2 linked regions of the Canis lupus familiaris genome follow. The protein of the gene in region 1 binds, or shares a complex with, the protein of each later gene. Links are inferred from orthologs where the notes say so. Each region holds a gene or a part of one and is shown on either strand. Other genes may lie near its edges.

Region 1 (3,818 bases):
AATTCCTTAGGAAACAAATATTCCCGTTGAACAGAAAAGACCTGTCGGACTTTCTCCTTGCTTCATATCGAATACTCTCAAATTCCAATGAATATCCTACACCAAACAGTGAATAATGGATTCGACCACAGAATGATGTTATAGATGGACAATAGCCCATAAAAGCCTATCTATCCTAAATTACTATTAGCATTTCTTAATTAAAGATTATGCCAAAATATGACAGACCTGATAAATAAATAATAAGGTGGCTTTGTGAATTACTAAGTCTACTACGTACTATGAAAAATTAAACAGAATGAACTATATAATTTAGGTATTTAATAATCAATGAAATTTCAGAATCTATATCACGAACCTACCTCCCCGCTTTTTCTCATTTTGAATTTCCCACTTGTGTATTGGTTTGGAGGTAGTGATCTGAATAAGCCCAAGTTTTCCATCTGATGTTCCAAACAAAAGTTCTTCTCCAGAGTCTCCTGATTATAATTAAAGTCAACATATTATATTTATTCCATGACTCATAATCTCTTTATAGCTGAAATTTTTTTTAATATCACATAAAAATCTCATTTAAAAAATATAAAAAGTCAGACACTTAATTTGGAAGTTGGTTACATAGTCACAGAATTTTATAAATATAAGGGATAAGACCCTTCCTCATCATCTAATTTTAAGATGAGGAAACTGAAAATTAAAGTTCAATAATTCATTACTGTTAGTTACTGGCAAGTTACCCGAAAACTGTCTTAATTCTAGTTCATGCTCTTTCTACAATTCCTATTTTCATTCACTTTATTTATAGTTAAATGATTAAACCTGAAATATCTAGACCTAACACAATACACTCCCTTGATTATCATTACCGCCATTTCCGTTATGTAGTGCTAAGACAGTAGGTGGGCCAGGCACTTCAGTTTCATACATCACATCAGACCCCTGAAGGAGAACAAGTATTTTAAAACTGAAACAGAATACAAATTTAAAACATTGACACTAATAGATAAACATCAATATTCATATAAAGAACTGTAGAATAAAAACTGCCAGAAAAAGTTAGATTGTGATTAACTTGAATTTGTTAGCTATTTTGTGTATGTTAACTCGTTTTAAAATACATATAAAATGTAAAGATCAAGAAGAAATACATATAATATTCTACACTTCAAATAATTTTCATTTTAAATACTTTGCCTGAAAACTTAACACTGGTAAATTTTACTATCAAAGCTTTCCTGGAACAAGTTGTTTCTTTTGTCCAGTTTAACTTAGAACACATTCAAACATTTAAACAGATCCAAAGTTACTTCCTAAAGGAGAAGGTTGGTCCTGCATTTGGATATTTCCAAGACCAACTCCAATGAGAGCCAGTTATTTAGACAGGAAAACAAATTACGCCCATTTATTTGTCTTTTTAAAAATTTTGCCACTTGTAATATTTTCATTTAGTATACATAATTTGTGAAGCTGCTAAAGAATGAGGTAGAAGTACTCATACTCAAGTGGAAAAAATATCCACGATAGATCATTCAACAAAGAAACCCATGAAATTATAGTAAATATGGAATGATATTTTTCTTAAAAAATTAAATTTATATAGAACATGTTAAAGTCATACTTTATTTTTTTATTTAAAATTACACCTGAAAATTCATACATATCAACTATATAAACACAAAAAATACACATAAAAACTTTTTAAAAAGGCTACCTCTGGGGTAATGATTGCTTACAAATGGGGAGTCGATGGAGAGTAGGAATATGTGACTAGCAAGGCAAAGTTTTAAGTTCCCACAAATCCTTAGTGATTTTTTTTTAAATTTTACAGTAAGCACATCCATCTCTTCTTGTTAAACAAAGCAGAATCCTAGAATCAGCCAGACTAATTCCTAATTGAATATTACCCAGTTCCTGTTAAAAGCCTTATTCAGACAACTCATATTTGGGAGTACAGACAATGGAAGAAACTAATTATTCAGGCCCCTAGAATGAACCTTGAATGTCAACTTTGTTTTCCCATAGAAAAAAAAAAAAAAAACCTCACAGAATTACTGGATTTTCCCTTCCATTTAAAGAACTGATGTCAAGAAATGGCCATCTAGTTATGAAATTCCAGAGTGAGAAAGTTAGTGATGGCAAAGAATAAAGTGGTAGATGTTTTGTTCAACTGTACCAATATTAGTCCAACTTTCTGACCCAAATAATCTATCCGTTCTAGATTATTTGCATGTGTAGTTTATTTGCATAAACTTTATTTTATGGATCCTGGCATGTGTATGTATGTGTATTTTACTGAAAGTCACTTTTGAGAAGACATAGTTGTAACTATTATTACTAATAACAATGTCTTATGCAGTTGTTTTAAACAATCATGTTTTTAATAGAAATGTAAGGATGATAAAATTTTTCCCTCTATCATTCATTTACTTCTCTAATATTTACTGAGTGCTTATTCTGTTCCAGAACTGTCATTAATGTGGAATAAGTGCAAATGATACAACTCTGATCACAACTATCCCTTCTTTGTTAAAACCTAACATCCTCTCCCCAAACCAATTTTCTCCATTAGTTTGATTTTGGGGAGAGGAAAGAGTAATGGAAGAAGAAAGAAAGAAAAAAAAAAAAAAAAAAAAGGTGAGAAGTGTCCTTTGTAGCAAAGACTCCATTCTGACTGAACTAACTCAGAAATTATGCATGGGGACAGAAAAGCATCCTTTTTCCCAAATATGCCTCTCTAAAAATTTGCCAAAATTCTCAATACATTTGTCTCAAGCTAAAAAAAAAAAAAAATTAGCTTACCAATTAAAAAGTATTTTTTACAAATATAATTTTAAGTAGGACATTTAAAGCGGTAGTAAGTAATCTATCTCAAGTACACATTGTTCAGCTATATTCATTTACATAAATTATGAAAAACTATAAAAATGCAAATAACAGAAACCTGTAAAACTCTGAGCACTCTGTCCTGGCAGGCCAATATCGGTGTAATACGAGGTAATCTTTCCACTGGAAGGCAGATGACATCATTGATTTTGTCCCCAGAAAGGTAATAATGTTGGTCTTTGCAATCACAATAATGGTTATAGATGTAACTTGCACTGAGAAAGAGGTCTGAGCCAGATATATACCTGAGAACATTAAAAGTAATTTAAAACATCCATATTTCCAAAAAGAAATATAGGAAATTCCTGAATTCTTTTGAGATGAAAACAAAAGTTTACTTAATTCCTATCATTTTATCACAGACTTAAAGAATAGTTTTTTCCCCTCATTTCCCCCACTTAATTTGTAGCCTTTTGATATAACACGGATTTTAAAAAGCTGAAAATTAGGATCTTAAGTCCTTAGGCATCTCAAAAATTATGCTCTGTAAAACTGAAAACAAAGACCATGATAATTGTCTGTATCTGAAGACAATTAATATGTCAAAAAACCGGGGGTGGGGGTGACTGGGTGATGGGTACTGAGAGGGGCACTTGATGGGAAGAGCACTGGGTGTTATTCTAGATGTTGGAAAATTGAAAACCAATAAAAAATAAATTTATATAAAAAAATAAATAAAACCACTTGATTTATTCTTGAAAAACAAAATGTCAAAAAGCAACTTTTTCTGAATGTGCACTATGTGCCAAGCACTGTCCTAATGGATTTACATGTATTACATGTATTAGCTTAATCTTCATAATTCTGTCAACTAGGGACCATTATTATCCCTTTTTACAGAGAACACTAAAATGTCAAGTAACCTGCCTAATGGCACACAACTAGTAGTAGAGTAGATTGCAGCTCAGGTAGCTTTTAGCTCTAGAGTTAGCTTT
Region 2 (4,394 bases), on another chromosome or scaffold:
AATATTTTGGAATATACCACTATTGGGCTTTTGTTGTTAGTTTTAGCCTTTCAAGAGCCACTCTCCAGAACCACATTTTTTCATTGTAAAACAACCACATCTGCATTTAGAAATTGAGCCAAACGGCACCGTGTAATCATTCACATAAACACCCCCATCATGAATTTCATATAATTTTTCTCATCTCTTTTCACCCTCCCACTCTGCTTAATAGGTAAAATTAATTAGTAGGCCAAAGATGGGGCAGAGGGGTAAAGGTGACACTAACTAGGGTAGGGGAGGGGGGGGGGGTAGGGGAAAGCCCCATACTCAGGGCCTAAGAGGAAACTAGAGAGAAAATGTGTCTGAGGAAGGGCTTCAATCTCCAAAACCATTCATTGGGGTGCGGGTTGGGAGGTGAGGCTGAACCATTCATTGGGGTGGGGGGGGTTGGAGGTGAGGCTAGGTAGGTCGCAGGTTCCGTAAATTGACTCCTCCCGACCTTGGTGGGTCCTTTGGGAAGCGTGGCTCTAACAGGGCGGAGAGCTGCGTGTACCTAAATATTTTCACCGAGTAACCCCGTCACTGTAATTCCAGGGCAGGTTTAAGAGGCGGCCCACACGAGGCGGCCCCCTTGCTTTCCGGGGCCAGCGAGCCCATCCCGAGGAGGCGGGACAGCCAAGGAGCCAGGGTGAGGCCTCGGGCCTCCACTTTCCGGGCCTCCCCCGTCGGGCCTCCCCGTCCGGCCTGCCGTAGGGCCTCCTCTGTCCGGCCTCCCCGTCTGGCCTCCCCCCGTCGGGCCTCCCCCGTCAGGCCTTCCTCTGGCCTCCCCCAGTCCGGCCTCCCCGTCGGGCCTCCCCGTCCGGCCTGCCGTAGGTAGGGCCTCCTCTGTCCGGCCTCCCCGTCGGGGCTCCCCCCGTCCGGCCTCCCCCGCCGCCCTCCCCTCCGCGGGGCTCCCTCCGCGGCGCGCCTGCAGGCTCGGAGGCCTCGGGAACCCAGAACGCCCGGCGCGCGCCTGGCCACGGAGGCCACAGCAGGTTCCGCGGCGGCATCGCCCGACCGGGCGGGGAGACGCGGCCGGACGGGAGCGCGCCGCGGCCGCGCCGCCAGGCGCTTCCCGGCAGGCTGTGCGCACGCCTACAGCTGCCGTCAGGCGCCGTCCGGGCCGCGCGGCTCCTCGCGGGCGGCGGCGGTCCTCCCGCCCCCGACCTCCACACCTTCTCTAATGCTCGTCGCTGCGCCTCTGCCATTTCCCGGGGCCCTTCGGCCCCATAACCAGGGGCGCCAGGCCCGGCTCCCCGGGACCCGGGGGGCGTGGCCTCGGAACCGGAAGCACGTCCTGTTGCCAGGGGAACGCCGCGCACCCGGGCGCCGGCCCGGCGGCTGCTCGGGCTGAGGCGCGCGCTGCGGTCGCCTCAGCTGGTGGCGGCGGCTGTGCCCGGGCCGGGCTCCGTGCGATGGAGGCGTAGGGAGGAAGGCCGAGAGGCGCCCGAGACTTCTCCCGGGACGGACGGCCGAGCGGCCCGGGCCCAGGCCGACTCCGAGGACCAGGTACCGCCCCCCGCCCCCCCGGCGCGCCCGCCGCCACATCCTAGGATTTTTCACTCCGAACCGTTGTTTGTAAAGTGTAAAAGGTGGACAAGTTGAGGCGGCGTGTGCGGTCAGGACCAGGCATCCAGGAGGGAGACGGTTTGGGCGGGCGGTTCGGTCGGCTTTGACACCGCCCGCTTCAGGGTGTGGGAAATGCCGTGGACGCCGGCGCTCAGGGGATCCGGGCCCGGCCGGCCGCTCCCTCGGCCTGGGTCTCTGCCTCTGCCTCTCCGTGTCTCTCAGGAATAAATAAATAAGATCTTAAAAAAAGAAAGAAAGAAAGAAAGTCCATCTCCAAAAACCGAAAGCCGAATACAAATGTTTGGAGCGCTGAAAGTGTGCCTCAATTCACTCTAGGAACATTCTCTTTTTTTTTTTTTTTTTTTAAAGTTGACAAAGTACCATTCGTGGTGTTTCTCTGCCCCGTCCCCGTCTGCGACTTAACCACCTTCCAAGCTCCGCTGTGGATGAACATCCTAATACTTCGAGACTCTTCTGGCAACAAGTAATCCTTTAGAAAGAGGTTTCCCACATAACAGCCAAGGGAATTTGGTTGGCTGGTGCGCGGCAAAGCAGTAAGGTAAGAAACTGGAAAAGTACCTCAGAGCCAGACAGAGGGAGCCTTAAAAGCCACGCCCGGAAGCTCCGGCTTTACTCTGAAAGCCAGTAGTTCTCACTAGTCACCGTACATCAGAAACACTGTGTGGCTTTTTGACTTTTTAGATGTTTTTATTTATTTATTCCTGAGAGACACAGGCTGAGGGAGAAGCAGGCTCCTGCCGGGAGACCCATGTGGGACTCGATCCCCGGACCCTGGGGTCGCATCCTGTGCCGAAGGCAGACACTCAACTCACGAGCCACCCAGGCGTCCCTTCTGTGTAGCTTTTTAATATACTGGTACCCTAATGCCATCGTCAGAAATACGAATTCAGTAGTTGATTCCAGTGTGCAGCCAGAGTTGAGAATCATGGCTTTTAGGCATAGCAAGCTACAGGAGGCTTCATCTCCCACTGTGCACATAGGGCACGGTCAGTAAATTATCTGTCCTGCTTTCCTACGTGGAAAAAGTAAACTTACAGAAACGTATGATTGCTAAGAAATAGAGACATATATGTATAAGGCTATGATTACATATTTTAGAACAACTGACTTCTACATTGTACGTCCCAAAATATTTCATTAGCTAGTATTAGTTCTGATAATCTATGAAAAAGGGTTGGAAAATCACAATCCAGGGTTCTATGGATAAGGAATATTCAAGTATCAAGTTTTTGACAGTTGAGGCTTTATAGTGGATGCCCAGAGCATGATGATGTGAGAAGTGGTCATATCTTTTTTTTGAATCTGTTCAAAATTGTATGGAAGATGGAAAACAAGATAATTGTCTTAATATGTTTAGTACAATAAATAACAAAGTGACTGATAGAAAATCGACTTTGAATTATTCATGATGTCAGAAGGCGAACTTAAAGTAGATTCTGCAAATGCTCCTTAAGCTGAGACTTAAAGGAATGGATGGAGTGAGATTTGAATCTCCAAATGAGGAAAAAAGTGGCACAAATGGTGTAATCTGAGATCAAACTCATCCCTTGGATAAGATAACTGTGGCTCTCTTGTAGGCTCCATGTTCTGGTGGGGCACTGTTTCTGCTCCTTTCTACACATCATTGGAATTTGGTTTTGAAATTCCTGTCAGTATGATCTCTCAAGGGGCCTAAGCAAAATCAATGAAGCCTCCTTTTGGATGCAGTTGTCTTGGAAACCTCTCATTTAAATTGTTGCAGCCTCACATCCTTCAGGGTATGGCCTTGCCTAGGATAGTGTGGGATAAAAAATACCGAAGGAGTTGAGGGGATGATAAGCTTTTTGAACCTTAGATGGAGATGAGAATAAATCACTTAAATGAGATGAATATTTAGAGAACTTTGAAAACGATGGTTGGGAGAGTAATAGGTAACATTTAGGACACAGATTATAGTTACTGCTATAGCAATCCTTGCAGCAGTTGAAGGCTGGCACCAGAGATAGCTCTCTTCTCCCAAGATAATGTATTAATGGACCCAAGGGGAGCACCTTTGGAAAGTTTCATTTTGAGAATTCATAGCAGGTTATGAACAAGCAGTATGTCTAGCAATATATGTCTAGCAATATATTATATATTAAAGTAAGTATATCTGTTATTCCACTTGATAGAAGATACAATGTAAACTGTATATAATCAAACAAAAAAATTTAATTTTATTGTTATGACTTCAGATTAATGCATACAAAACTGGGGCTGGCTTCAGAGAAAGATTTAGCTACTGGCTCAAATAATGTAGCCGAAACCTGTTTTTCTCTTTTTTGATCTGCCTTCTACCTTCTAAGCTTCAGCATTAGGCTCTATATGAACTCATTTGCCCATAGATTCTACCAAATTTCCAGAAGAGGCAGCAGATGTTTCCAAGATTACAAGTGGCCAATTCCACATAATACTGAGTTTCACCACATTTTCTTCTTAAATATTATAATTTACTAGAAGAAATATACACTTATTTCCAGGGCATTATTCTGTGTGTTGCCTAGGGTTATAAGCTGCCAATCTGCATTTCAAATAAGACTCCTTTGTGCTAATCAGCTTAAATTTTATTTACTAAATCCAGAGCTACATTGACATGGTTTTTATCATTGTGTCTTTAAATTATTAAAGTTTTTGATGCACAGGTTCATATTTTCCATACCTAAGCTGCCTGTTATTGATACGTCTCTTTTACTTTCTGACTTGCAGCTGGTTTGGAAATATTTGAATCACATTATGGGATTGCTAGACAGACTTTCAGGCTTGCT

Evidence for each region.
Region 2: the proteins of BBS7 (region 1) and ARL6 are in contact, whole or in part, in a cryo-EM structure (PDB 6VBV), measured with the Bos taurus proteins. The link is inferred for Canis lupus familiaris from reciprocal best matches to the Homo sapiens genes BBS7 and ARL6. Residues at the interface, in NP_001178275.2 of Bos taurus: Leu3, Ile249, Val250, Gly251, Asp300, Gly301, Tyr302, Asp303, Thr319, Glu320, Pro321, His323, Lys324, Glu325, Ser326, Gly327, Pro328; in NP_001069250.1 of Bos taurus: Met132, Asp133, Arg135, Thr139, Ser140, Val141, Ser144, Trp157, His158, Ile159, Cys160, Ala161, Asp163, Lys166.

Annotation. Positions count from the first base shown.
Region 1 is NC_049240.1:19,117,113-19,120,930, reverse strand, and holds part of BBS7 (Bardet-Biedl syndrome 7 protein), read right to left. Parts: intron 3,129-3,818; coding exon 2,942-3,128; intron 940-2,941; coding exon 867-939; intron 480-866; coding exon 363-479; intron 1-362.
Region 2 is NC_049254.1:5,117,635-5,122,028, forward strand, and holds the start of ARL6 (ADP-ribosylation factor-like protein 6), read left to right. Parts: upstream 1-1,331; 5' UTR 1,332-1,530; intron 1,531-1,959; 5' UTR 1,960-2,149; intron 2,150-4,335; 5' UTR 4,336-4,362; coding exon 4,363-4,394. UniProt on the Homo sapiens protein: Involved in membrane protein trafficking at the base of the ciliary organelle. Mediates recruitment onto plasma membrane of the BBSome complex which would constitute a coat complex required for sorting of specific membrane proteins to the primary cilia.